Caenorhabditis elegans: one gene and its partners. The protein of the gene in region 3 purifies or fractionates together with the protein of the main gene of each other region. This does not show direct contact. Each region holds a gene or a part of one and is shown on either strand. Other genes may lie near its edges.

Region 1 (5,423 bases), on a different chromosome or scaffold from region 3:
TTTTCCCAGTCGGAATCGATTTGCCTTGAACTGAAAATAAGTGGCAGATGACAATGGCTGATATCCAATCACTGGTTCACAATTAGTAGTGTCTACTGCTCCATATGTGAACACTCCTCCTCCAACATTTGTCAATGTTCCTCTATGTTCCAAGAATACACTGAACAATGGTTGATCAAGAATTCCTTGTTTAATAGCATTGATAAGTGGTGGAACTACGCCATCAACAGCCAATGTAGTGAATGCAAGACCGAATATTCCATCGGTGGCGTCGTTTTTTAAATCTGCTGAAACTTGGTTTGCAATTCCGAATGTCGTTTTTGGGATTGCTAACTGATTTTCTCCGGTCGCTCCAATCTACAAAATTTTAATTGAAAGTAAGAATAATTGTTTAAAAATTATACCTTCACAATATCTTGTCAAATTTGTGTTTCGACTCACAATTTGCTCTAAAAGTTAAGTGTAAAAGTTCACTTTTAAATTTCATTCTTACTTGCATGATGTCCCTGGAATCCAAAGATTCGCGGAACCTGTGTCAAGGACAACAATAAAGCTCTGATCAGGAGTTCCAATAGTGATGTTTCCAAGATATTCAAAATCGGCAAAGTCATTGACCTAAATTAGTGTATGTGTTTATGAGAAAAATATCAAATAAAAGTTATTTTTGAAAGTTGGCTAGTTTCTATTTAAAAATTGTGAAACTTGCATAGAACAGGTTATCAGTACAAGTTTTAGATTATTTTAAAATTTGGATACGTTAAAAAAAACTTACATTCTGTGGCAAACTCTGTAGCTGCCAAGGATTACGGTTTCTTTGTCTCTCGAGATGTTTCTTATATGTTGCCCATTCTCCACTTCTCAGCATCTCGATCCTTTTTGATGGTTTCCATAATATTTTACTTTGATGTACTAATCCAGAAACAAAAACAAATAAACTTATAATTAAAATTATTGATCGCATTTTTCAAAAAGTGATCAATTTCCCCCTTTTCAATTCTGGTTTTAAGCTTTTTTTCATTTTCTTGCATCATCAAACGGCGGACTCGTTAATTTCGCTGATAACACAAGTAAACTGATAAGAGGAATGAAACATCGTGATTAAAATTCAATGCAATTCATTTCTGCAGAAAAATTGTTTAAATATTAGTTGTTTCAATTGTTTTATTATTGAAAAAGTATAAGTACATAAATAGTAATATATATTTACTTTTGGAGAGATGGAGCGAATCCCATTCTCTTGTTTCCAATATCGTAAATGTTGCAGTATTGACGAATGAATGGATCTCCAAGAATCCATGATGGTCCGAATCCTCCGAAATCGAATGGGAAGGCAGCGAAAAGGCATTGACCGTTTCCGGCATCAACGATGTAGTTGACTGGCTGGATGGAATAAGTGTTGGTTCCAATGGTAATATCAAGAGTTCCTGGCTGGGCAGCGCAGTCGATGAAGTAGACCTCGTTAAAGTCATCATAAGTGGCTCCAGCGGCCTTGGCGAGTCCGTCAACAACAGATTGTGGTCCTCCGAGGAAGGAAGTTCCGGTGTCAGAGATAACATCAACGGTCTTGGTGTTTGAGTATGATCCGAGTTTGAATCCGGCAGCCTTGAATTGATAGTAGGTGGCAGAGGAAAGTGGTTGGTAGGCAACAAGGGCTCCGCAGTTGGTGGTGTCAATGGCTCCGTAGGTGAAGACTCCTCCTCCAACATTGTTGGCGGCTCCTCTGTGCTCAAGCCAGACTGAGAAGAGTGGCTGGTCAAGGATTCCTTGGTTGATGGCGTTGATGAGTGGTGGGACAACTCCGTCGACGGCAAGGGAGGTGAAAGCAAGTCCGAGAATTCCGTCGGTGGCGTCATTCTTGAAGTCAGCGGAAATCTTGCTGGCAATTCCGAAGGTGGTGGTTGGAACAGACAATTGGGAGTCTCCCTTAGCTCCGAACTGAAAATCAATTTGATAAGGACTGATTTTTTGTAAAATTCACTTTGCCAGCTAATTTATATCAAGATTACACAACGCACACATTAATGCATTGAAGATAAACTTACTCTAACGGTATCTTGTCCGAGGATTCCGGCGGCATCTCCTGATCCGTATTGGATGGTCCAGGACTTTCCGTTCTTAACGAAGGTGCTGGAGGCAGTGGAATCGAACTTGCTCTTGGTCTTGCAGTTGGTCCTTCAAATAATCTTTTTAAATATTTCAGAACTGAAATCTACTCACTTGCAGGTTGGTCCTGGAATCCAGAGGTTAGAGGATCCGGTATCCAAAACAACGATGAATCCTTGATCTGGGGTTCCGATGGTGATGTTTCCGAGGTACTCGAAATCTCCAAAGTCATTGACATTTTGTGGGAGATTAGCAAGAACATTTGGGGACACAGCTCTGAGATTTCTCTGGTATTCAAGGTAAGCTGGATATTGTCCAGTACGGATCATTCCCATCTTCTTGGATTCCCTCCATACGATCTTGTGTTGATGGACTGAAGCCGATGCAAGGCCAAGAACGGCCAGAAGGATGAAGGTCTTCATACCTGAAAATAAATATTTCAGAAAAATATTCTAAATGGAAATGAAATTGAAAGTGTAGATAAACGAGTGAAATAATTTTCAATTTCAAGAGCAAAAATTGAAGTAGAAAATGTCAGATAGTGCTATGTTTTATACTTGTTGAGAAAACTCATGGGCGCACTGACGTAAGTTTAATTGGTTGATAAGAACCGCCTTCTTATTTGGTTTGTACCCGATCGGTGCGATTCTTATCACTAAAAAATGAAGTTTAGTGAAGAGAGTAGTGCCGATGATTCCGGCTTCTGGAAGTAACGACTGAAAACTGACGAAACAGCTTTTATGAGCTAATAAAACTCGAGTATTAACTGAATCAAAAGTGCGTAAAGTTCCGTGAACGGTACCCGGAGATGGATGACATTTGAGTCAAGTGCTGATAGGTCAATACCAGGTACACACGTAGGTTTACTGGCTAAATCCGGAGTAATACGTGATGAATTACGTAAGCGATAGGAAAGTATACAGTTTGAGCATGGCTAAAACTTGAACAGACAGAGTCCAAAGGATGATATAATGAATGACGAGAGCCTTATTTAAGGCATCACTGTAAGATTTTCCAACAATTCAATTTGCTCTGTATTATAGTTTTCAACATTATACAGTTTTTGAATTGAATAAACTTTTTGAGTTGGAAGGTTCTTAACGGCACTTTCTATCTCATCTTACTTCACAGTTAGTAAAATAGTTACAATAGTGCCCATTATTTGAATTTTATTTGAAAATTATGTCCATTTCCAATTGTTCCACAGCATTTTTTTTTGCAAAACTCCATATTTATATGTAGATAAACTTTTTGCCAGAAAACTTGCCAGGGAATAGTTAAGGATGAATTTTCAGCCTATCTTCCTAAAGACCCCAAATATAAAATTTTTGGTGGATTGCAGAGAAAGCTAGGCATGGTTTCAAGTTTTACAGTTCACCCTTTTGAATTGGAAATCCAATTAATACTGTACGCTTGTTTTGCAAGTGTACCCAAATGACATCACTATTTTCTGCAGTTTTTTTTCCGGCTCTGTATTATTTTGGCAGTCAACATGATAGCTTTATTGACATTTCTTTAAATCAAACGTTTTCCTCAATCATTTCCGCTGTTTTACTTCTCAACCTGTGACAGTACAAACATCTTGATCATCACGTGCCCAATAGCCAGGCATGTTGACTATGAGCCGGAACTTTTCTAGATAAGCTTCTTACGAATCTAGATACGTATTCTGATTTATTATCAATAATTTATCGCATCAGATCAAGAAAGTGAGAGTTCTTGCGTCAGATTGAAAGAATAATGGCCAAAGTTTCCAAACTTTGCACGGACATTCTAGTTTGCAAAGTTATGAGCTGAAGAACGAAAAATATTAGGTTTCTATGGTATTTAATCTTAAACGCATAAATTTTAGGAAGAAAGAACCATTTTAGTTCTTGAATACTTGTATTACACTTTCAAATACCCATATTTCAAGCATAATAGGACTACTGAACTTTTTATCGTACCGGGCATTCACACAGTCTCGCACAAAAGTCAACCTAAATGATATTGTATTTCAAACAGTTGTTCGTTGAAAAACTAGTAGAATCAAGAAACAAACATGATTTCAACCAAAATTAATGAAACCTCTTTTATTTCAAAACACAACACGCACTGAAAACATCGAAATATTCAATAAATCTTTTCAGAAATGAAGACAACTCTTCTCGCTTTTGTAGCCATTCTTGGCATGTGCTCGGCAACTGTGGTTCAGCATAAATTGATCTATCGGGAATCGCCAAAGATGCAAATGATGAGGCGAGGAGAATGGGGAGCATACGTTCAACACAAGGCTGCCCTACGTGACGCCAATCCAGCTGTGTTCGCCAGTGCTCCACAAAATGTCAATGATTTTGGAGATGTTGAATACCTAGGAAATATCACGATTGGAACTCCTCCACAACAGTTTATTGTCGTCTTGGATACTGGTTCTGCGAATCTCTGGGTTCCAGGAAGTAACTGCGAGTCAGTAGCCACCTTACACAATGGTTTTTAAATTTTTATCATTTTCAGTGGAACATGCAAAGGAAAGAGCGAGTTTGACTCATCTAAATCTACAACATTCAAGAAAAACGGACAATCATGGCAAATTCAATACGAATCTGGAAGCGCTAAGGGAATCATGGGAGTAGATACTGTTGCTTTTGGTGGTGCTTCAGAACAACAACTTCTTGTCCCATCTACCACTTTCGGTATTGCCTCTCACATTTCGTCTAACTTTAAGAATGTAAGATCTATTTCCCAGATTATTTGATTCTTCATCGGAACGAAACTTTCAGGACGCTGCTGAAGGAATTCTCGGGCTTGCCTTCACATCTCTTGCAGTCGACGGAGTTACCCCACCACTGATCAACGCCATCAACAAGAAAATTCTCGATCAACCTCTGTTCACAGTCTTTTTAGAACATAAGGGAACGGCAAAGAATGTTGGAGGAGGTGTCTTCACCTACGGAGCCGTTGACACTACCAACTGCGGACCAGTGATTGCCTATCAACCACTTTCATCTGCCACGTATTATCAGTTTGTTGCTGATGGATTTAAGCTCGGATCATACTCAAACAATAAGAAATCTCAAGTGATTTCCGACACTGGAAGTTCGCTCATCGGAGGACCAAGTGCTGTGATAAATGGCTTCGCTCAAGCTTTGGGAGCAAAAGTGAGTATCAGTTTAATTTTGACTCGTTGTGAGGGACAAACAGTTTTTTTAATCTTTATATCTAAACCTTTTCCAGTACCACAGCGATGATGATGCTTACTACCTCCCATGCTCAACATCTAAGGGAACTTTGGACATTACTATCGGAGGAAATGTGTATTCTATTGAACCTGTCAACTATAT
Region 2 (9,092 bases), on a different chromosome or scaffold from region 3:
TTCTCTTTTTTGTGTTATTATTATCTATTGGTCTTGACCCTTCTTCTTCTTCTATTCTTCATCTTCCCGTCACAACTTCCAACGTGTCTTCCTCCTCAGCAGCTGTCTCTGCGGTTTCTCAATTCTCTGTACTATTTCTAGAGGGTCTGCTGGCCGTTTCGTCAGGAGGAGGTGGTGGCCTTACTCACTCAATCTGTCCCACTGACCCTTTCTTTTATTCTTCTTTCCCTCCCTACGTTTCTTGCAGTTTTGCAGTTTTTACTGATTGTCAATATTTGGGAGTTTGAATACTTTGTGAGATTTGGGGAAATTTCCAATTTTCAGCGATTTGGTAACTTTGAAATTAGATATAGTTCTGAAATTGCCGTGATTTCTCAATTTTAAAGCGGATTTTTTTTGATTTCTAATAAATATGAATTTAAGTAAATTTTCAGCTTTTTATAGTTTTAGAAAATTCAAAAAAATAGCCAGTTTCAGTTTGGCAACTTCATTTAAAAAGTGTTTGCCATTTTGGTAAATATGCAAGTTTGGCAATTTTTCCTATTTTCTACATTTTTTAAAATTTCATTCCGACAGTTTTGATAGGTGTTTAAATATTTTTGAAATCGCTCAGTTTATTTTTTCAAATTTCAAAAATTTATAATTTCGGTAACTTAGAAATTTTTTCGCCGATTTTTTCAGTTTTATAATTATATAATTTTGGCAACTAGTAAGTTTCGGGGAAAAATGAATTTTGCCAGTTTTTCAGCTATACAGAATTTTGGCAATTTTGAAATTTTTCTGATATTTTCCAATTTTGGCAATTTTTGTGTTTGCCTAGTTTTTCATATTTTAATTACTCACAATTTTGGCAACGACCTTTTTTTTGAAAAATTTGCACTTTAGCGAATTTTTGGCTCTCCTAAGTTTCAGCAAATTTTAAAATTTCCAAATGTATCATATTCGGCAATTTTGACAACAATTTTTGATGATTTGGGCAATTTTACAAATTTCTTTTTTTTTTTTGAGACATTGGCCATATTGGAACGTTGAAAAACTATTAAAAAAACTAGGCACATTTTCGGTTATTCCAAATTTCGAAAAATTAAAAAACTGCTAGCTTTTTCGGCAACCAGAACATTTCCAATTTTCAAAATTCCGGCAATTTGTTACGTTTGGAATGCCGATTTTTTTTGGGATTCCAGCAAATTTATTTAGGTGATCCGATAATTTTTCGTATACTTGGCAACTTCATTTTTTTTCCAAAAAAGGGAAAATGAGAAAATGAAATGTTTTTTTTGAGTCACGCAATTCCGGCTCCACTTGCTATTGTGCTTTTTTCTGTTAAAAACATGCATAACATCCAATTTTTTGGCGCCGGATTTTTTTTTGGAATTCGGAAGTTCACCAACTTGAATATTTTTCCCTATTTTTTTGGCAATTTTTTAAACAAATTCCGGCGATTCTAAAATAGCCCAGTACTTGACATTTCAAATTCAGTTGGAACTACCCAATTATTCCCAACCTGACACCTTTTGTCTTTTTCCTATTCAAACTTTGTGAACCTATATAATTATTTTTTTCCCGCCTGCGTCTCTCTTCCTCTCTGCAAATACTTACGATTCAATAGAATACGTGAATTTCCGAAGACCTTCGCGACGAATCTAGTTCACAGTCGTTTCTTTAGATTTTCCATGGATTTTGATTTATGAAACTTTAGAAGTATTGCAAATTTTTTTTAGGTCGAAAGCTTTTTCTATAAAAACAATATAGCAGCCGACACTTCACTGGGTTAACTTTACAGAAAATACCCGCGAGTTGTCGGCTGCTGTAACTCCCTTTGCAGCAATGATAGCAAGAGATTGGTAAATAGCAAATTGTAGAAAATAAAATTTACAACAATTTGTTAGTTGAAGACATTTTTCTATGTGTAATGCGAAACAAATTATGGCAGCCGACACTTCAATAGGTTTTAGAGCTAGCGAAAACCCCGTGAGACTTCGGCTGCTACAAGTTTTTCAGTTAGACATTCAAAAGTTGTAACTCACAATTTTTTGCGTCTTGCGGGTTTTAACTGAAAAACTGGAAACGGTTCAGAATTCAAAAAAAAAATGTTTTTCGGTTGATGCTTCTAAAACGTTTTTCGTGATAAAAATTGAAAAAAAGCGAATTCAAAAATTAACTTTTAGCAGCCGACATTTTATGGGCTTGAGTTATATTTCTCTAACCCTAAACACCAAAGAACCTATATATCTCACACTTTCACTATCATCAAGTCAACGTCAGTTTTACTCATTTCTGCGTCTCGTTTTCTTATTTCTTTCGCATCTAATTGTTGTAAGTCTACGTGGAGAAACCAGCCTTATATAGCTGAACCAACTTCCTCTTTTGCAATTTTTTCCTTTCTTTGTGTTTTATGCCAGAACTTTGAAATCACAAAAGTTATTGTTAATTTAATATTTAAGCTACCTGAAATTTCCTATATTTGGTCAATTAACAATTTTTTAGCAGCTAGTTCAAGAAGTAAGTTAAAGCAGACGACATCTAGCGGGTCAGAATTTTGGAAGCTGTGAGATGTCGGCCGCTATATGCTTCTTGAGGAAAACTGGTGTGGTAGCCGACACCTTGCGGGATTTGATCCCCGGGGTTTCCGGATCTGTAAGATGTAGGCTGCCACAACTTTTTTAAACTGACAAAGTTAAGAAATCAAAATTTCCTTTTTTCCGGTAAGCACTGTCTTTTGGCTATTTTAGGCAGCCGACATCTTGCGGGTCTTGCTCAGTTTTGATTTTTTTTTTTCGAACCCATGAGATGTCCGCCGCTATAATTTTCTCTGGCGTTTGTGTCAAATCTTTATTGTAAACTTTATCCGCTTCCCGTTTTGCAGGTTTTTAATTCCCTAACTCTCAATTTTTCAGAATGCGCCTGGCACTCCTTGTACTAGCCACAATCGGCTATGCAGTTGCCGATCTGTTCACCTCGATTGCCGACATGCAAAACCTTCTGGAAACTGAAAGAAATATTCCGAAAATCCTTGACAAATACATTCACGACGAGGAAGAGCGACTGGTTCAGCTGAAGAAGCTGTCGGAGGAGTACTCGAAGAAAAATGAGATTTCGATTGAAAATGGGCTCAAGGATATTACGAATCCGATCAATGCGTTTTTATTGATCAAGAGAAAGGTAATTTTGTTTGCAATAGGTTTTAAGTTATTGCAGCCGACATCTCACTGGCCGTTTTTTCAGCCCGTAAGGCGTCGGCTGCTATGACTTGTTTTTAACGCTAGAAAAAAGTAGTCAACTATGATAGCAAAGTATAGGAAATTTCATTTACTTAATTTTGTTAGTTGACGATTTTTCACTCAGTCCCGTAGTTTTACTGTTATTACAGCCGCCATCTTACTGGCTGCACTTTTTAGAAATCCGTGAGATGCCGGCTGCTATAACTTTTTTCCCATACATTTTAGAAAAAAGTTGTCAACTGACAAAATATAGAAAATTTCATTTACTTAAATTTGTTAGTTGACAATTTTTCACTCAGACCCGTAGTTTTCCAGTTATTGCACCCGACATCTCACTGGCCGTTTTTTTTCAGCCCGTAAGGCGTCGGCTGCTATGACTTGTTTTTAACGCTAGAAAAAAGTAGTCAACTATGATAGCAAAGTATAGGAAATTTCATTTACTTAATTTTGTTAGTTGACGATTTTTCACTCAGTCCCGTAGTTTTACTGTTATTACAGCCGCCATCTTACTGGCTGCACTTTTTAGAAATCCGTGAGATGCCGGCTGCTATAACTTTTTTCCCATACATTTTAGAAAAAAGTTGTCAACTGACAAAATATAGAAAATTTCATTTACTTAAATTTGTTAGTTGACAATTTTTCACTCAGACCCGTAGTTTTCCAGTTATTGCACCCGACATCTCACTGGCCGTTTTTTTTCAGCCCGTAAGGCGTCGGCTGCTATGACTTGTTTTTAACGCTAGAAAAAAGTAGTCAACTATGATAGCAAAGTATAGGAAATTTCATTTACTTAATTTTGTTAGTTGACGATTTTTCACTCAGTCCCGTAGTTTTACTGTTATTACAGCCGCCATCTTACTGGCTGCACTTTTTAGAAATCCGTGAGATGCCGGCTGCTATAACTTTTTTCCCATACATTTTAGAAAAAAGTTGTCAACTGACAAAATATAGAAAATTTCATTTACTTAAATTTGTTAGTTGACAATTTTTCACTCAGACCCGTAGTTTTCCAGTTATTGCACCCGACATCTCACTGGCCGTTTTTTTCAGCCCGTAAGGCGTCGGCTGCTATAACTCTTTCAAATGCGTTTTAGAAAAAAGTTGTCAACTGACAAAATGTTGGTAATTGACAACTGTTTTACCAGTTCAAAGTTAAAAAAGTTAGAGCAGCCGACATCTCCCAGGCCACGTTTTTTGAAAACCCGAACATATCGGCTGCCTTAATTTTTCTCTAATTTTTATTAGAGAACGTTGTTGACTAAGTAATAGTAAGTTTAGTTGAAATCTTTTCAAAATTTTGGCTGCTCCCAACTATTGGTAAAGCCTCCAGTTTCTGTGTTATTGCAGCTGACATCTCACTGGCCGCACTTTTTTTGAAAATCCGTGAGATGTCGGATGCTATAACTGTCATAACTTTTTTCTCAAACGCTCCAGTTACAGAAAATTTTCTACAACTTTACAGTTTACAACTTTTGTCTATCTCAATTTCTAAATGGCCTATAACCCCACAAATCTTCAGATCTTTGACTGGAAGGAGATCGAGTCGAAAATGAACGCAAATAAGGCTGGAAACGTGGTCTCTTCAATCACAGATGACAGTTATGGAGTACGGTACCCAACAGCCGATGACTTGAGTGGAGCAGCTATTGGGCTCCTCCGTCTTCAAGACACTTACCGCCTCGACACCAAGGATCTTGCCGATGGAAAGATTTACGCGGATCAGGGAAATTACACATTTTCCGGTAAGCTTAAAGTAATACAAACTTTAAGTTTATCTTTAATTTTAGCAAAGGACTGTTTTGAAATTGCCCGTGCTGCTTACAATGAGCACGACTTCTACCACACTGTGATGTGGATGGAGGAGGCGCAGAGAAGACTCGGCGACGAGGTGGAGCCAACTGTGGAGGTGGAAGATGTGAGTTATCTTGGCTGGAGAGGAAGATAGAAAAATATTTACAACTAGTGAATTGTGCAGAATTAAATTTACATTATTTTTTAGTTTATAACTTTTTTATAGCTTGTTTCTTAGTGGAGTTATAAAGAGTTTTAGCAAAAAAATTTGAATTTTAAAATAAAGCACGCATATCTCTGCAATGAAAGATTTTATCAAAAGGTTGTCAATTGTTAAAATGTGTAAAATAAAATTTTCTACAATTTGTTAATTAACAACTTTTTGCTAAACTTGCGTCGAAGCAAGTTATGGCAGCCGACACCTTGCGGGTCCAGAAGCAATCCAAAACCGGAAGATGTCGGCTGCAACATAACTTTAATCCTAGTTTAGCTGCGGGAGAGATGTTAACTAATAAAGTGTAAAACAACTTTTTTTAATTGCTTTGAAGCAAGTTATGGCAGCCGACGCTTTACGGGGCAATCTGTCGGCTGCTGTAGACTTCGAAGGCGGATAACTCTGCGGGTATTGAATTTATCAAAAAGTTTTCAACTAACAAATTATAAAAAAATTAAGTTTTAGATACTTTAATAGTTGAAATATTTTTGATATCTTTAATAGCGGCGGAGAAACAAGCGTAAATCGCCAAAAAGCTATGAGAAAGTAGCCGAAATTTTAAATGCAACTTTTTTCACCAAAAAATTTAATTTCCAGATTCTCGAATACCTGGCGTTTGCACTGTACAAGCAGAACAACTTGAAGCACGCTCTAAAGCTTACAGAGGAGCTCTACAAAATGAGTAAGTTTTTGAGACCGCGAGATGTCGGCTGCTACTCAGCTATTGTAAAATCTAAATCTTCCAGACCCAACTCACCCACGCGCCAAAGGAAATGTCAAATGGTACGAGGACCTTCTCGAGCAAGAAGGCGTCCGTAGAAGTGACATGCGCAAGAACCTCCCACCAATCCAAAACCGCCGTCCCGACTCTGTCCTAGGAAACACTGAACGAACAATGTACGAGGCTCTGTGCAGAAATGAGGTTCCAGTGTCCCAGAAGGACATCTCCCGTCTCTACTGCTACTACAAGCGGGACCGTCCGTTCCTTGTCTACGCTCCGATTAAGGTGGAAATTAAGAGATTCAACCCACTAGCCGTGCTCTTCAAGGACGTGATCTCCGACGATGAGGTGGCCGCGATTCAGGAGCTCGCGAAGCCAAAACTCGCAAGAGCCACAGTCCACGACTCGGTGACCGGAAAGCTTGTCACAGCGACTTACCGTATCTCTAAAAGCGCGTGGCTTAAGGAGTGGGAGGGTGATGTTGTGGAGACCGTTAACAAGCGAATCGGATATATGACAAATTTGGAGATGGAGACCGCTGAGGAGCTGCAGATTGCGAATTATGGAATCGGAGGACATTATGACCCGCATTTCGATCATGCCAAGAAGGAGGAGTCGAAGAGTTTTGAGAGCTTGGGAACTGGAAATCGTATTGCCACTGTGTTGTTCTATGTGAGTTATATTAAAATGCAAAAACCCGTCAAGTGTCGGCTGCCAGCTAACAGCCCGCAAAGTGTCAGCTGTTGCCTTATAACTCGCAAAACGTCGGCTGCTAATTAGATGCCAGTATTTTGTCGGCTACCATATAGTCCCGGCAAAGTGTCAGCTGCTAGGTAGATCGCTGAACTTGTCCGGCACTAGCGCACGCGACAGCGAGGGATCCATTTTTGCCGGCTGCTAACTAACCCCGCAAAGTGTCAGCTGCTAGCTAACGACCCGCGCAGTGTCGGCATCTAGGAGCCTGTAGCTTGTTGGTTGCCACTCAGAACCCGCGAAGTGTTGACTGCTAGCTAACAACCCGCAAAGTGTCGGCTGTTATCTAAATCCACAAAGTGTCTGATGCTAGCTAACAAGCCGCTTAGTGTTGGCTGCTAGCTAACAAAACGCAAAGTGTCTGCTGCTAGCTAACAACCCGCAAAGTGTCAGCTGCTAGCTAACGACCCGCGCAGTGTCGGCATCTAGGAGCCTGTAGCTTGTTGGTTGCCACTCAGAACCCGCGAAGTGTTGACTGCTAGCTAACAACCCGCAAAGTGTCGGCTGTTATCTAAACCCACAAAGTGTCTGATGCTAGCTAACAAGCCGCTTAGTGTTGGCTGCTAGCTAACAAAACGCAAAGTGTCTGCTGCTAGCTAACAACCCGCAAAGTGTCGGCTGCCGACTCAAAATCAACCTATTATTGTTTCAGATGAGCCAACCATCTCACGGAGGAGGTACCGTCTTCACTGAGGCCAAGTCTACAATTCTGCCCACCAAGAATGATGCTCTCTTCTGGTATAACTTGTACAAACAAGGAGACGGAAACCCAGACACCCGTCACGCCGCCTGTCCCGTTCTTGTCGGAATCAAATGGGTTAGTTTTTTGTTTCTGGTGGGAGCCCGCGAAATGTCGGTCGCTTCTTATATCGGTATTTGCGTACTTTCGCAGCTACAGTAACCCACAAAAACACCTCTAGGACCACAATTTCATGAGGAATTCGAATTTTAACTTGTTTTTCCAGGTATCCAACAAATGGATCCACGAGAAGGGCAACGAGTTCCGTCGTCCATGCGGCTTGAAATCCTCAGACTACGAAAGATTCGTCGGCGACCTCGGATACGGCCCAGAGCCAAGAAATGCTCCAAACGTGTCCCCAAATCTTGCCAAAGACGTCTGGGAGACCCTCTAAGCATTGGTTTTCATTGTTTTCTGTTTTTTTTCTTTGTGCCGCATAATTTATCCCCACACACTACCGGGTGGTTTCTTACATGTTTTCTCTTTTTTCTCTTGTTGCCTTCGATGAAGTTGTCTGCCTTTTTCTTTGCCGTGAATAAATTATTTTTTACTTTTTAATTATGTTATTTGAAAGCAGCCGACAATTCCCTAGTGGATCCTGTGAAGTGATGGCTGCAAGCCTGTAAAGCGTCGTATGCAGAATAGAAACCTGTAAGAGGTCGGCTGCAAACCTATTAAGTGTCGGCTGCTGAGTAAAACCCCGTATAGCGTCGGCTGCAAAATAAAAAACCGTAAGAGGTCGGCTGCCAACCTTTTAAGCGTCGGCTGCTGAGTGAGAGCATGTATCGTATCGGCTACAAAACTGTTTAGTGTCGGCTGCTAGATAGGAATCCGTAACGTGTCGGCTGTCAACCTATTAAGCGTCCGCTGCTGAATAAAAACCCTTGAGATGTCCGCTGCCAACCTGTTAAGTGTCGGCTGCTAGATAGCAACCCGTAAGGTGTCGGCTGCACACACACTGGATATTATTGATTTTCCGAAAACTTCCGAATTTTTCTTCTCCTGCTTACCTTTTTCCGTAGTTTTATCATTTTCTCATCATCACTTTTTCGCATTGACAGACCGCCAAAAACGTTTTATTATGTTTGTTTGCTCTTTTTCTTATCAGTGCTTAAATATTATGAAACATCTTTATATGAAACTCCTTTTTTTGGCATTCTCGTTTTCGAAAAAATTGAATTCCAACTCGTTTTAAGCAAAATTTTGAAATTTTGGCTTAGATTTTTTGGCAGCTTGTATCTTTGCATGAATGCTAGAATAATTTTGTCAACTGATAAATTGTAGAAAATTTCATTTGCTATATTTTGTTAGTTAACAATTTTTTAGTAACTGTTGTGGTTGGCAAGTTGCAACCGTGTAAAGTTGTAGTACATAAGCGTCACTGGTTATTTGCTACAAATGCTTGTATCTTTGTAGGAATGAGAGATATCAAAAAGTTGTCAACTAGGGAAATGTAGATAAGAAATTTTTCTACAAATTGTATGTTGCAATTTTTTTTTCTAGCTTTAAGGATTAGCGAGATATGTGCTTTCAAAAAGTTAAGGTTTAAAAAAATTTTATTTTGAAATTTTGAAATTTTGCAATTCCTATTGCGAAATTTCTGTTGATCGTTTAGTTTTTTTTTAACTTATAGTTAATCTAGTTTTTTACAGT
Region 3 (9,749 bases):
AGAATTGACACTATAAATGGGATTTTTAGACTTTTTCTCAATATAACCGCACTTACCACCAATTTCTGATTATCCAACGATGAGCAACTGGCAGATGAAGAAGATGATGAGGGTGCCGGGTCAGGGGAAATGAGGTCTTCTATGGTTTCAAAGATGCTTTTCCTTTTTGTATTGATACTCATTTTTGGCTAGGATTTTTTCTGGAATTACATAACTGAGGAATTTTATAAATAAGTTTGTAGGCGACGATAAGAGCACTAAAAAAATGGATAACCCAGATGAGTTTACGGTTAAGCATCGCTAGAATTTTCTTTTTTCGATAGTAGCATTCTTTACGTCCAAAATTGTAACAGAGAGCCACGTTAATATTTGTTGTAGTAGTTGTGAAACGATAGTCTTAAGGAATATTAATAAATTCAAAAAAAGGGAATGTTAATAACTTCAAAACATTCAAGCTCAAACTCAATTTGCAGGTACTCCTTCATTTTTAGAATACTAATGAAATGTACAAAACAGTCTTAAGTAGGGCAACAGCAATATAATGAACTACTTACAGAATTTTGACATTTTGCAAATTGCGACCCAATTTGCAAAATGTCTTGGCAAAACATGGCTGAAATTTGGTGTTCACTTGTTTCAGCTATATCGTGAATCTTAATTGGTCTGTAGTGAACCTACGGAGCATTGTGGTTCTTATGAAAAATTTAAAATTAAATTAAAATAGAGAAGCAAACAGTATCTGTGAATAAAAAACAAATAGTAAAAATCACATTTTATTGACCCTACAACTATTGTCTGAAACCAATGTTTTGAAGCCATCGTTCAAAAGAAGTTTCAGTACTTCTCTGGCTTTCAGTGAAATCCAATTGAAGCTCACTTTTGGGTCAGAAATTATTAATCCGTTTTTACTTAAGGGTGTGTGAATTACCTACTAAGTCATCTCTACAATAACTATTTCAAATTCATATTGAAAAGGTAAAACCAGCTGAAAAACCTCTCTATCGGCTTTGGTATAAAAACGGATTTAACATCAACAATTAACTGATTGGCTGATACGACAAAAAGTGGGAGGGGATTCATCTTTTGCTTTATCTGCCTCTTGTGACTCCTCATCGTTGTGTTGTATCCGGACTTCTACCTTTCCCCCATTATCACACCTGTTGGTTTGATTTCGGCCGACAGGTGCCCCCTTGCCAAGGAGGCTCGTTGGTGTTGATATGAGAGATGTTGCACGGGCGGGAAGTCAGAAGTTATGGGAGCCAAGGGACCGAGAGGGGTGTTAGGAACTATTTCTAATACATTTAAAACTTTTCCATTTTTTTTCAAAATGCATTGAAATTCGAAACATCTGAAGTGTTAATAACAGTTTTCAAACATATTTTTCTAAAAAGGATCACAAATTATATGAGAAGATATGCCAAATTATCAAGCTTTTAAGGGTAAAAGCGCACTCGTTATCTGCAAGTTGATCTCGAAGATCTCAATTTTCGATTTGCAAGTATATTTATCAGATTCGGTGGTTCAGCTTGATACTATTTCTCAATAAGTTATTTTTTATTTGATTCCAGAACAAACATGAAATGTTAATAAAAAAAACAAACAACTACAATCTAAACTGCTCCAAATAACTATTACACTGCCGAATCGTCGAGTCATCCAACCTGTATGTAACTCCAGGATGTACTCGTTTTCGATTAAGCGTCTTCTTTTTATGCTTTCCAATTTGATCCTGTACAACTGTTTTCTGATTGATATCAACATTGCTATTAGATGTTCTTAGGCAGAAGTCATATGGGAGAGTCTCGAAAATTGCACGGGTGTCTGTGGTGAAGGTGGAGAGCGCCGAGATTGTGGATTCCACGTGGCGGACTGGTTCTGAGTGATGGTAGAGGGAAGCCGTTAGGTGTAAGGATCCGGATGTACTGAAATGTTTAATTATTTTTAAGAATGTTTATAACAGGCGTAACTATACAAAGCTAGAAACTATACATCAACCTAATTGTAAGTTGAAATTACCTAAGACTTATTTTTTTGCCTGAGCCCCTTCGCTGAGGCTCTTTAATGTGGGCCCTTAGACCTAGACCCGTAGGCTAAAACTGTTGGGCCTAGGGATCGTCTAATTCCTACGATCAATAAAAATAAGAGGATCTTTCAAGAACTCACTATGCCTCTGCCTTTGCATTCGATCTCTGATTCCAAAGGGAAACTTCCGCCGATGCAAGAACTCTCATACTAATTGCTCCAACGCTATCAACGTCAAGAGTCAATCCAGAGAGCAATGGCACCGATAGTCGAACGTCTCTAACAGGAACATGACCTTCAAATGCCTTATGCGTCCTTCCATCTGCTTCCCAGACAGTGGAAAGCAGGTCAGTACTTCCCTTGAAGATGTGGTGAGTTGGTAGCTTGTGACCAGCAACTCCAATTCGAACAGACCCTTGTGGAGCGCCGGATCTTGAAGAAGCTGATCCAGTCACAAATTGCTCAAGGTGCTCAGTGTCGATGGAGAGCTAAAATTTGTATTCAATAAATTATCCTATAAAATAACAAAACTTAAAATTCCCTCACCGAGAATAAATTGTGCTCCTTCCTTCCCTTCTTCATCGATAGCTCAAAGATGGATCTCTTAAAGGATTTTTGCAAGAATTCTGTGTTCGCAGTGGAGAACAGTTGGAAGTTTGAAGCATCTGCAATCTCTTGCCAGTGAACATGAGAATCCGCCTGAAGTGCTCTGTGCAAGAAGTTTGGTCGGAAAACCTTAAACTTCCGCATTCGCGACCAAAATTCGGCCTTCAGTTCATCCTTGTTTCCGCTTGCCTCGATAGCCTTGTACAGGTAATGCCATTTTTCCTGATCATCGGGGTTAAGAGTCTCAGTTCGCAGGATCAAGGTGGCCACGTTTTGATGATCAGGGACACATTTGAGGAGAATGTCGATGGCGAGTTGAGAATGAGAAGTTGGAGTTTCCTGGCTGCATGTGTTGCGGAAGAGTTTGATGAGCTTGTGGGTGAGCTGTAAAATTAGATATTCAAAAGATGAGTTTTACAAGTTGAACCAATGTAGAAGCCGGCAGGATTCTAATGTACAAAAATAGCATTGAACATTTTTAATAACAATTTCAGACGGCCCGATGCCACGTGAACCTAAAAAAGTTAAGGGAGGGGTTGTAAAACGTTCAAATACTTTATTGACCCATATCTAAATGTGAAGAGAACTTTATATCAACACAATTAATATAAGAAATAAATATACATGTACGGACTTTATTTGTCAAGTTTATAGTTTACTATGTCTTCAATATTAAATACATAGAGTGCACTGCACACTGCGTTTGGCAGCAAGCTATTTTGTATCTTCAAAAATGTACAGGAGCGCCAATTTTTTTTTTGGTTTGGCATATACTGATGTGCCGAAAAAAAAATTCGGCATGTGCCGAAGTGCCGCGCATCTCTTGTTCATACTTCAATCCACTTACTTGTGTTTCATACAAATTCTTGCTCGCAGCCAGAATAACGTTGAGTGCGGCTTTCTGAACATCCTCCGACTCAGTTTCACATATGAATTTCTTAGCAAAAGTGTAGGATCCGAAAATTGGAATATTCTCCAGAACCTCGAGAACTCTGACTTCAACTCCACCAGCTGTCAGGTCAGTGATGAATTTGTTGACAATCTGAATATCAACAATAACGCATAGAATTCAGTGAAAGTAAGGATCTTACCGTTTCCTTTCCTTTATTGCAAGAGTTTAAGCTGCTTGTCGATGCTTCACATCGTTTGTTCAGCACAGTTGCAATTGTGTTAGCCACCTTCCAATATTCTTCTGATTTTTTATCAAGGGACCCGAGCCAGTACATCAATTGTTTGTGCCATTTCTCATTGTTAGACGAGCTTTGTGAAATTCCAAAAAGTAAATCATCAAGATAATCAGGGGACGCGGTAAGAAGAACTTCACGAGCAGTGGTGATAGATTCTGCTGTACCGACTCCTCCGAGGGCACTGGCGATAAGAGATCTGGAAAAAATGTTTAGCTGGTTTGGGAATGTATGTGATGATGTACTTACAGAACATGATCATTCTCTGGGTATTGGATAGCAGCTTCCCAGTCCTGTCGCTTAGCCAATCGGGCTTCTTGAGCAATTTGACTATAAAGCAAAGAATGTTTCTCACAAATGTGTGAGTCACCCATATCTTGAAGATGACGGCGGTATGTTCCAATAAGCTTTGTTAACTGAATAATGCCTTTAGCGTTTGAATTACATTACATTCAGAAAAATAACCTTATTCGACTGTTCCTGCGCAATCTTGACATGCTCGTAAAGTTTTCCTCCGACACGAACTGCTCCAAACGCCTGCTCGGCGCATTTGGCGGATGGTACGGTATCATTACAGTAGCTGGTGACGAAGACACGTGTACGGTTGGTGATTTCTACGTGAGTTCTAGAATAAGTACAATGTTAAGGATGGGGTTATTGAGCCGAATCTCTGCCAGTTTTTCGGAAAAAATATCACTGAAAACTTAATACTGTATTACTCAAGTCAGAACTCTTGAAGGTGCAGCGAATAAAAACATCACAGGTCCATACTCCAGATTAATGTTTTCTTTGGTTTTTGACTCCTTTAGAAACAATGGAAAAACATTTTTGTATGTTTGCAAATTTTAAGAACCTACTCACCTGGATTCCAGAGTGAATCCGTATTTCTCGTGAAGTGGACTCTTGAATGCTAACATCTCAATAGCATCAACCATAATAATGTCTGCATCGACTTTTGTGTTCTGTCTGAAACTCTATTCTTTTCCTAAAACTGTATCATGTTTTAACTTACGTGTACCAGACATCCTGATCATATTGAACACTCTCGATTCCTTCGAATTTCGTAAAATTTGTGCCGTAACCCAAATCACACTTCTCGATAATTCTTCTAAACCGTTTATCCTCTGGCCTTCCAAAGTTCACGAAGCATCTTCCGTAAATTGTGTCGACTGTTTGCTCGTCTCCTTCTCCGTACTCTGCTGGCGTGTAGATTGTATTCACAATTGCGTACAGGAAATTCCAGGTGGCGTCACTCTCATCGGACGCTTTAAGGATATGCTCCGCATTATTACCACCTTGACGGAATGCTATGTAGATTGGAGATGGATTACCACAGTTGTCAGTGTTGCATTGGGTTAGCTGAAAACGCAAATTATGAGTTCGTAGACATTTTTGCTCGTAGAATATGATGCTCTTGCTTCAATTTTCAAGTACTACTAGATAATGGTAGAATTTTTGGGATTACTGTAGGTCAGTTTATACGCAAAGTTAGATGTAAAATATTTTGAGACAAAAAATGGCAAAACTCACAGTTTTGGGAAAATTCTGATTTTTTTCGCATTTCTGCACAATGTCTGGACAATGCAAAAACGTTTTCAGCAAATTGCAAAAAAAAATTATGGAAACTTGATTGAAAAATTCAAAAAAAAATCATTCAGTGAGCCTTGCCTCACGACAAATTGCGCAGTTTGTGGAGGAAGTCGGTTTAATGCTCATATTTTAAAATTTTTGATTTGTTTGATACTGAAGATTATTTTCGAAGAAAAAAGATTTTACCGTAAACCGTCCCAACATGCCACCCTCCACGTCATGATGAAGTGTTTCAAAGCTGAAATTTCCAGCAATAACGGTCGATGGATCCTTCTCCTTATTATCAATATCATCGTAAATCATAGATTCAGTACGGAACCAGTAATCCACTTTCAGTAGTCGGACAGTGTTCTCGTTCATTTTCGGCTGATTTTTATAGTAGTCTGGACCATGTTTGCGAAGGTTCTTCTTGATTTCATCGAGATCCGGAACTGCTAGGCAAACTGAAAAGGAAACAATTTTCAAGCTAGAATTTTAAAACTCGAAAAATTTAATTTTTTTTAATGTTCGCATTAGTCACAATTAAAAAATGTTTAAAATTAAAAGTCAAAAGTTTTGTCAGTTGACCACATTTTGAACAACGGCTATGAACATAAACGCAAAGTATCTCAGCAACCAGTAGATATGCAAGAAAGTGATAAACTAATAAAGTGTAGTTCTTAATGTGTATATTAGTATTGCAATGTTTTTTTTCTACTCTTTAAGTTTCTCGAGTAAGCGCCGGTCAAAGTTTAAAAAATAACTTTTCCAAGCATTTATTTAGATTATGAACAAAGTGCATGCGACAAACACCTGAACTTTGAAAAACTCGAAAAATTTGATAAATAAAACATTTCTTCAGTCAGCGTGAAATTTTTAAATGGAAAATATTTTTAAGGGGCTCGATATGGCTGATATTGATAAGATAATATATTGGCTGTTAGATAAAGTGTTTGAAAGTAAAATCAGTTTTAATATTTTAATCAGCATAATTGTGTGCCATCAAGAAAAATAGGAGACGATGTGTAGTCGTAAACACCTGTGCGGATCGAGTTGTATAAACAACCTCACTCTGGGGAAGAAATATTTGAATTTTGCAATACGGTTATTATTATTTTACAATCATTTCAATCAGAAATAGACAATGTTAAAAAGCGAAAGTTGTATTTGAAAATGGTCCACAGCGTAATTGATAAGTATTTCACATATATCAGTATTTGCCAAGTTATGGCGGCTCAAAAAATGACCTAAAATTATTTAAAACTTGAAATTTGACTAACTTGTCAATGTCGGAGCCGTTGGAAACTTTTTTTGTTGAAATTGCCGTCTAATTTTGGTTATACCCGTTAAATATCTTGCGTTTTCTGACAAGTCAAATTTAAAATTTTAACTAATCCCAGGTCATTCTTTGAGCCACATAACCTTTTTTTTGAGAAGTTTTCGAGAAAATTCATTATGAAATTCGGTGTTTTCAGACAATTCGACTACACCACCTTCAAGCAGTTTTTGTTTCAAAAAAATTCCCTACCTCCCACAGTAACGGCCAGAAGCAGCCATATCCGTGATGAGAACATCTCTGGTTTCCAAATTTCTCCCAGAGAGAGCAAAATTAAAATAATTTTATTGGCAATGGAGTCCTGTTTGGATGGAAGAGAAGAATTGTGAATGATGCAGAGAAGCAGTACTATTGATAAGAGTTATGATTTTATGCTTGCTGATAACACTAAAAATAAGGGTGATTCTATAATAGGTACACGTTTCATTAGTAAACTGAAAATATACACTAAAACCGATAAATCCGGGAAATTGTTTCGGTTGAAATTGGATATGAAAATTGGTCATGACAAAGGTTTCACTTTCCTAATCTACGCGGCAACGTTTTTTTGCGGTTCGTTCAATCCTACTTATTATTAGCAAACATCTAAAACTTTGAATTAATTTTCCTTTTTTCGAATCCGGCATAACTGTACAGTGTACACCAATAGGGCCCTAAGTCTATGCCCTTTTCGACCAAAATAAAGGCACATCATTTGAGAAGACAAACCACGATTTGTAACCTGACTAGGCAAATAACGGCTCCTCCGATCCTTCATTGTTAATCATTTTCTCTATATATTGATTACAATAGGAAAAAAATGTAATTATTCTCACCTGATTTTATCGGCTGTGCGGCTGTCCGCTGGTACAGCCGGTCGAGCGCGTCGGAAGTGAAAAAACCCCTGTTGAACGACGTAGTTTCCGTATTAGTGGAATACGGCTTGGTGGCAAAATTGGTCAATTTTATGTAAATGTACAAATCCATTTAAAATTGGAAAAATACAATTTTTAGTGTTCGGAGTTCAATTTTGAGTCCTCTATCTACAAAATTGCCCATTTTAGAGGTTTTACAGACAGTTGAATTGTTCTGAAAACTCAAAAATTTAATTTTCAGGCAACTACTTCCGAAAATAATTCTGCAAAACATCACGAACAAGTTGTGGATTCAGAAACTGCAGAAGAAGATGAATATATCAACGTAGTTGATGTGGATACGATGCCACCATTGCTGGAAAAATCACAATTGGCTTAAATTCTTAGTCGATTTATTACCGTTTTGCGATGTTAAAGAGCTTGTTATTTATTTCTATCATGAAAATTTATTGGATAATTAAAAACAAAATAGCCTTTCGTAAAGTTATATCGCAAATGCCTGACAATAATGAGAACCATTCCGTGCTCCGCAGTATGCTGAATCATGTTTGATGGAATAGTGGAAGGGATTCTACAAAAAAGGAAAAATTTCGATTATATATTTCCATCAATAAACTCAAAATGACCACAAACGACTTATGGCTGTTTAAAATCCTTTAAAAATGGACTTTTTTTGTTCAAATAGGAAAGTTTGCTAATTTGCTCTTGTGGCAGCGGTGTAGTTAACCTTTTTGGTACTTATGTAATTCCCCCTCATTTTAAAAGTAATTTTTGTAAGTTATAAAAAATAAAAACGTGTCGTATACTTTTGTATATTTAGGCATGCAATTTAATTTTAAAATGAGAAGGCATACCCACAGGTATCATTTTTATATTTTTTGAGTCATTTATTACTCATTTTAGGTTGATTTTAGGTTGAATAGGCACCCAAATTTACATTTAGGTGCCCATAAACTGAGAATCTACCAAAGGAATAAACGACTCAAATATACAAACAAAAGTTGTTTTTTCCTAATCCCTGCCACGTGAACAAGTTGACATAATTTCAAATTTTTGCAAAAATGGAATCCGGTCGTTTGGGGTCTTTTTGAACTTTATTTCATCTTCGAATGATTTCTACCTCTGAGCAGACAACAACATATCGATGAGAATCATGATCTTCTAGAGCTGATTGAAGCGATTTACTGGATGCTTGTGGATTGGATTTCATATGCTGAAAATGTATATTTTTTGGGATTATGTTGTACCCACAAACCGCCTGGATCATTGCCTTCATCTCTGGACTATTGCACAATAAATCCTCGTTTTTACTGGCAATTCCTCGAAATTCGAACTCCCGCCGCTCATCCTCATCGATACTTCGCTTTTTTCTTCCACACGCACTCTGGCAACAACATCCACCACCACCTCCACCTCCGAATAGGCCAGCACAACCGTGACAGAGATCAAAAAACAAAATAGCGAAGATTAACACAATTTTTGCGGAGTTTGAGAACATTTTTTGAGAATCTGAACATAAAATCCTTTTTATTTTTCAAAAAAGTTCTCCCCGGCCGGGAATTGAACCCGGGTCTCGCATGTGACAGACGCGGATACTCACCACTATACTACCGAGGACACGGGAACTTTTGTTTGGCCAGGCGTACACGAAAGAGAATGAAGCTACGTCTTTGAACGGTTAGAACTGCTTCACAGTGAGGAGACAAGTGAGAGCGCTCTCATTTATATATTGGTTCTGATTGAATCTGCGTCTATATTGTATGGGGCTGGAACTAAACAAACTAATAATACAAGTTATTAACCTCTTTATTATCCGTGTCAAACCTCAAATACTCAAAACCCATATAATAAGTAGTAAAAGAGAAGAGACGCAGAGAAAACGAAGGAGAAAGGCATCTATTGGGCGCCTTCCAGGTTAATTGAGTGACTATGACCTAAAAAAAGATATAATTTTCTAACGCTTAATTATTGCTTTAAAGGTTTTCAAGTTTTTCATTGTTTGTTAATTCCACTATTATTCATTTGCTAATATTTTAAAATGAAAATAGGTGTACGCCTTTAAATAGTACTGTATGTTCCGAGCTCTCGTTGCTGCGGAGGTTTCATTTATTTTGAGCACGTTCAACTTGTTTCGATAGAAATATTTATTTAATGAAAAAAATAAAAGAAACATGAAAT

What was found. The genes of interacting proteins can lie anywhere in the genome.
Region 1: the proteins of dsc-4 (region 3) and asp-6 fractionate together in Caenorhabditis elegans (co-fractionation; one large-scale study listed by BioGRID). This does not show direct contact.
Region 2: the proteins of dsc-4 (region 3) and dpy-18 fractionate together in Caenorhabditis elegans (co-fractionation; one large-scale study listed by BioGRID). This does not show direct contact.

Annotation. Positions count from the first base shown.
Region 1 is NC_003283.11:8,266,411-8,271,833, forward strand, and holds asp-6 (Aspartic protease 6), read right to left. Parts: upstream 2,528-5,423; 5' UTR 2,526-2,527; coding exon 2,218-2,525; intron 2,173-2,217; coding exon 2,043-2,172; intron 1,936-2,042; coding exon 1,204-1,935; 3' UTR 1,101-1,203; downstream 1-1,100. Other genes in the region: asp-12 (Peptidase A1 domain-containing protein), read left to right, coding at 4,235-4,548, 4,597-4,810, 4,863-5,240, 5,317-5,423. UniProt on the Caenorhabditis elegans protein: Aspartic protease.
Region 2 is NC_003281.10:11,371,786-11,380,877, reverse strand, and holds dpy-18 (Prolyl 4-hydroxylase subunit alpha-1), read left to right. Parts: upstream 1-2,897; 5' UTR 2,898-2,898; coding exon 2,899-3,162; intron 3,163-4,740; coding exon 4,741-4,963; intron 4,964-5,008; coding exon 5,009-5,136; intron 5,137-5,823; coding exon 5,824-5,908; intron 5,909-5,972; coding exon 5,973-6,619; intron 6,620-7,352; coding exon 7,353-7,517; intron 7,518-7,665; coding exon 7,666-7,833; 3' UTR 7,834-7,992; downstream 7,993-9,092. UniProt on the Caenorhabditis elegans protein: Catalyzes the post-translational formation of 4-hydroxyproline in -Xaa-Pro-Gly- sequences in collagens and other proteins.
Region 3 is NC_003282.8:313,516-323,264, forward strand, and holds dsc-4 (Microsomal triglyceride transfer protein homolog), read right to left. Parts: upstream 7,030-9,749; 5' UTR 6,956-7,029; coding exon 6,910-6,955; intron 5,846-6,909; coding exon 5,589-5,845; intron 5,172-5,588; coding exon 4,825-5,171; intron 4,779-4,824; coding exon 4,674-4,778; intron 4,438-4,673; coding exon 4,278-4,437; intron 4,229-4,277; coding exon 4,062-4,228; intron 4,012-4,061; coding exon 3,720-4,011; intron 3,671-3,719; coding exon 3,476-3,670; intron 3,013-3,475; coding exon 2,569-3,012; intron 2,511-2,568; coding exon 2,164-2,510; intron 1,923-2,163; coding exon 1,604-1,922; 3' UTR 1,541-1,603; downstream 1-1,540. Other genes in the region: snai-1 (C2H2-type domain-containing protein), read right to left, coding at 1-10, 57-182; grl-26 (Ground-like domain-containing protein), read right to left, coding at 8,056-8,142, 8,692-8,784, 8,827-9,069. UniProt on the Caenorhabditis elegans protein: Catalyzes the transport of cholesteryl ester, and phospholipid between phospholipid surfaces. Does not catalyze transport of triglycerides. Required for the assembly and secretion of plasma lipoproteins that contain apolipoprotein B.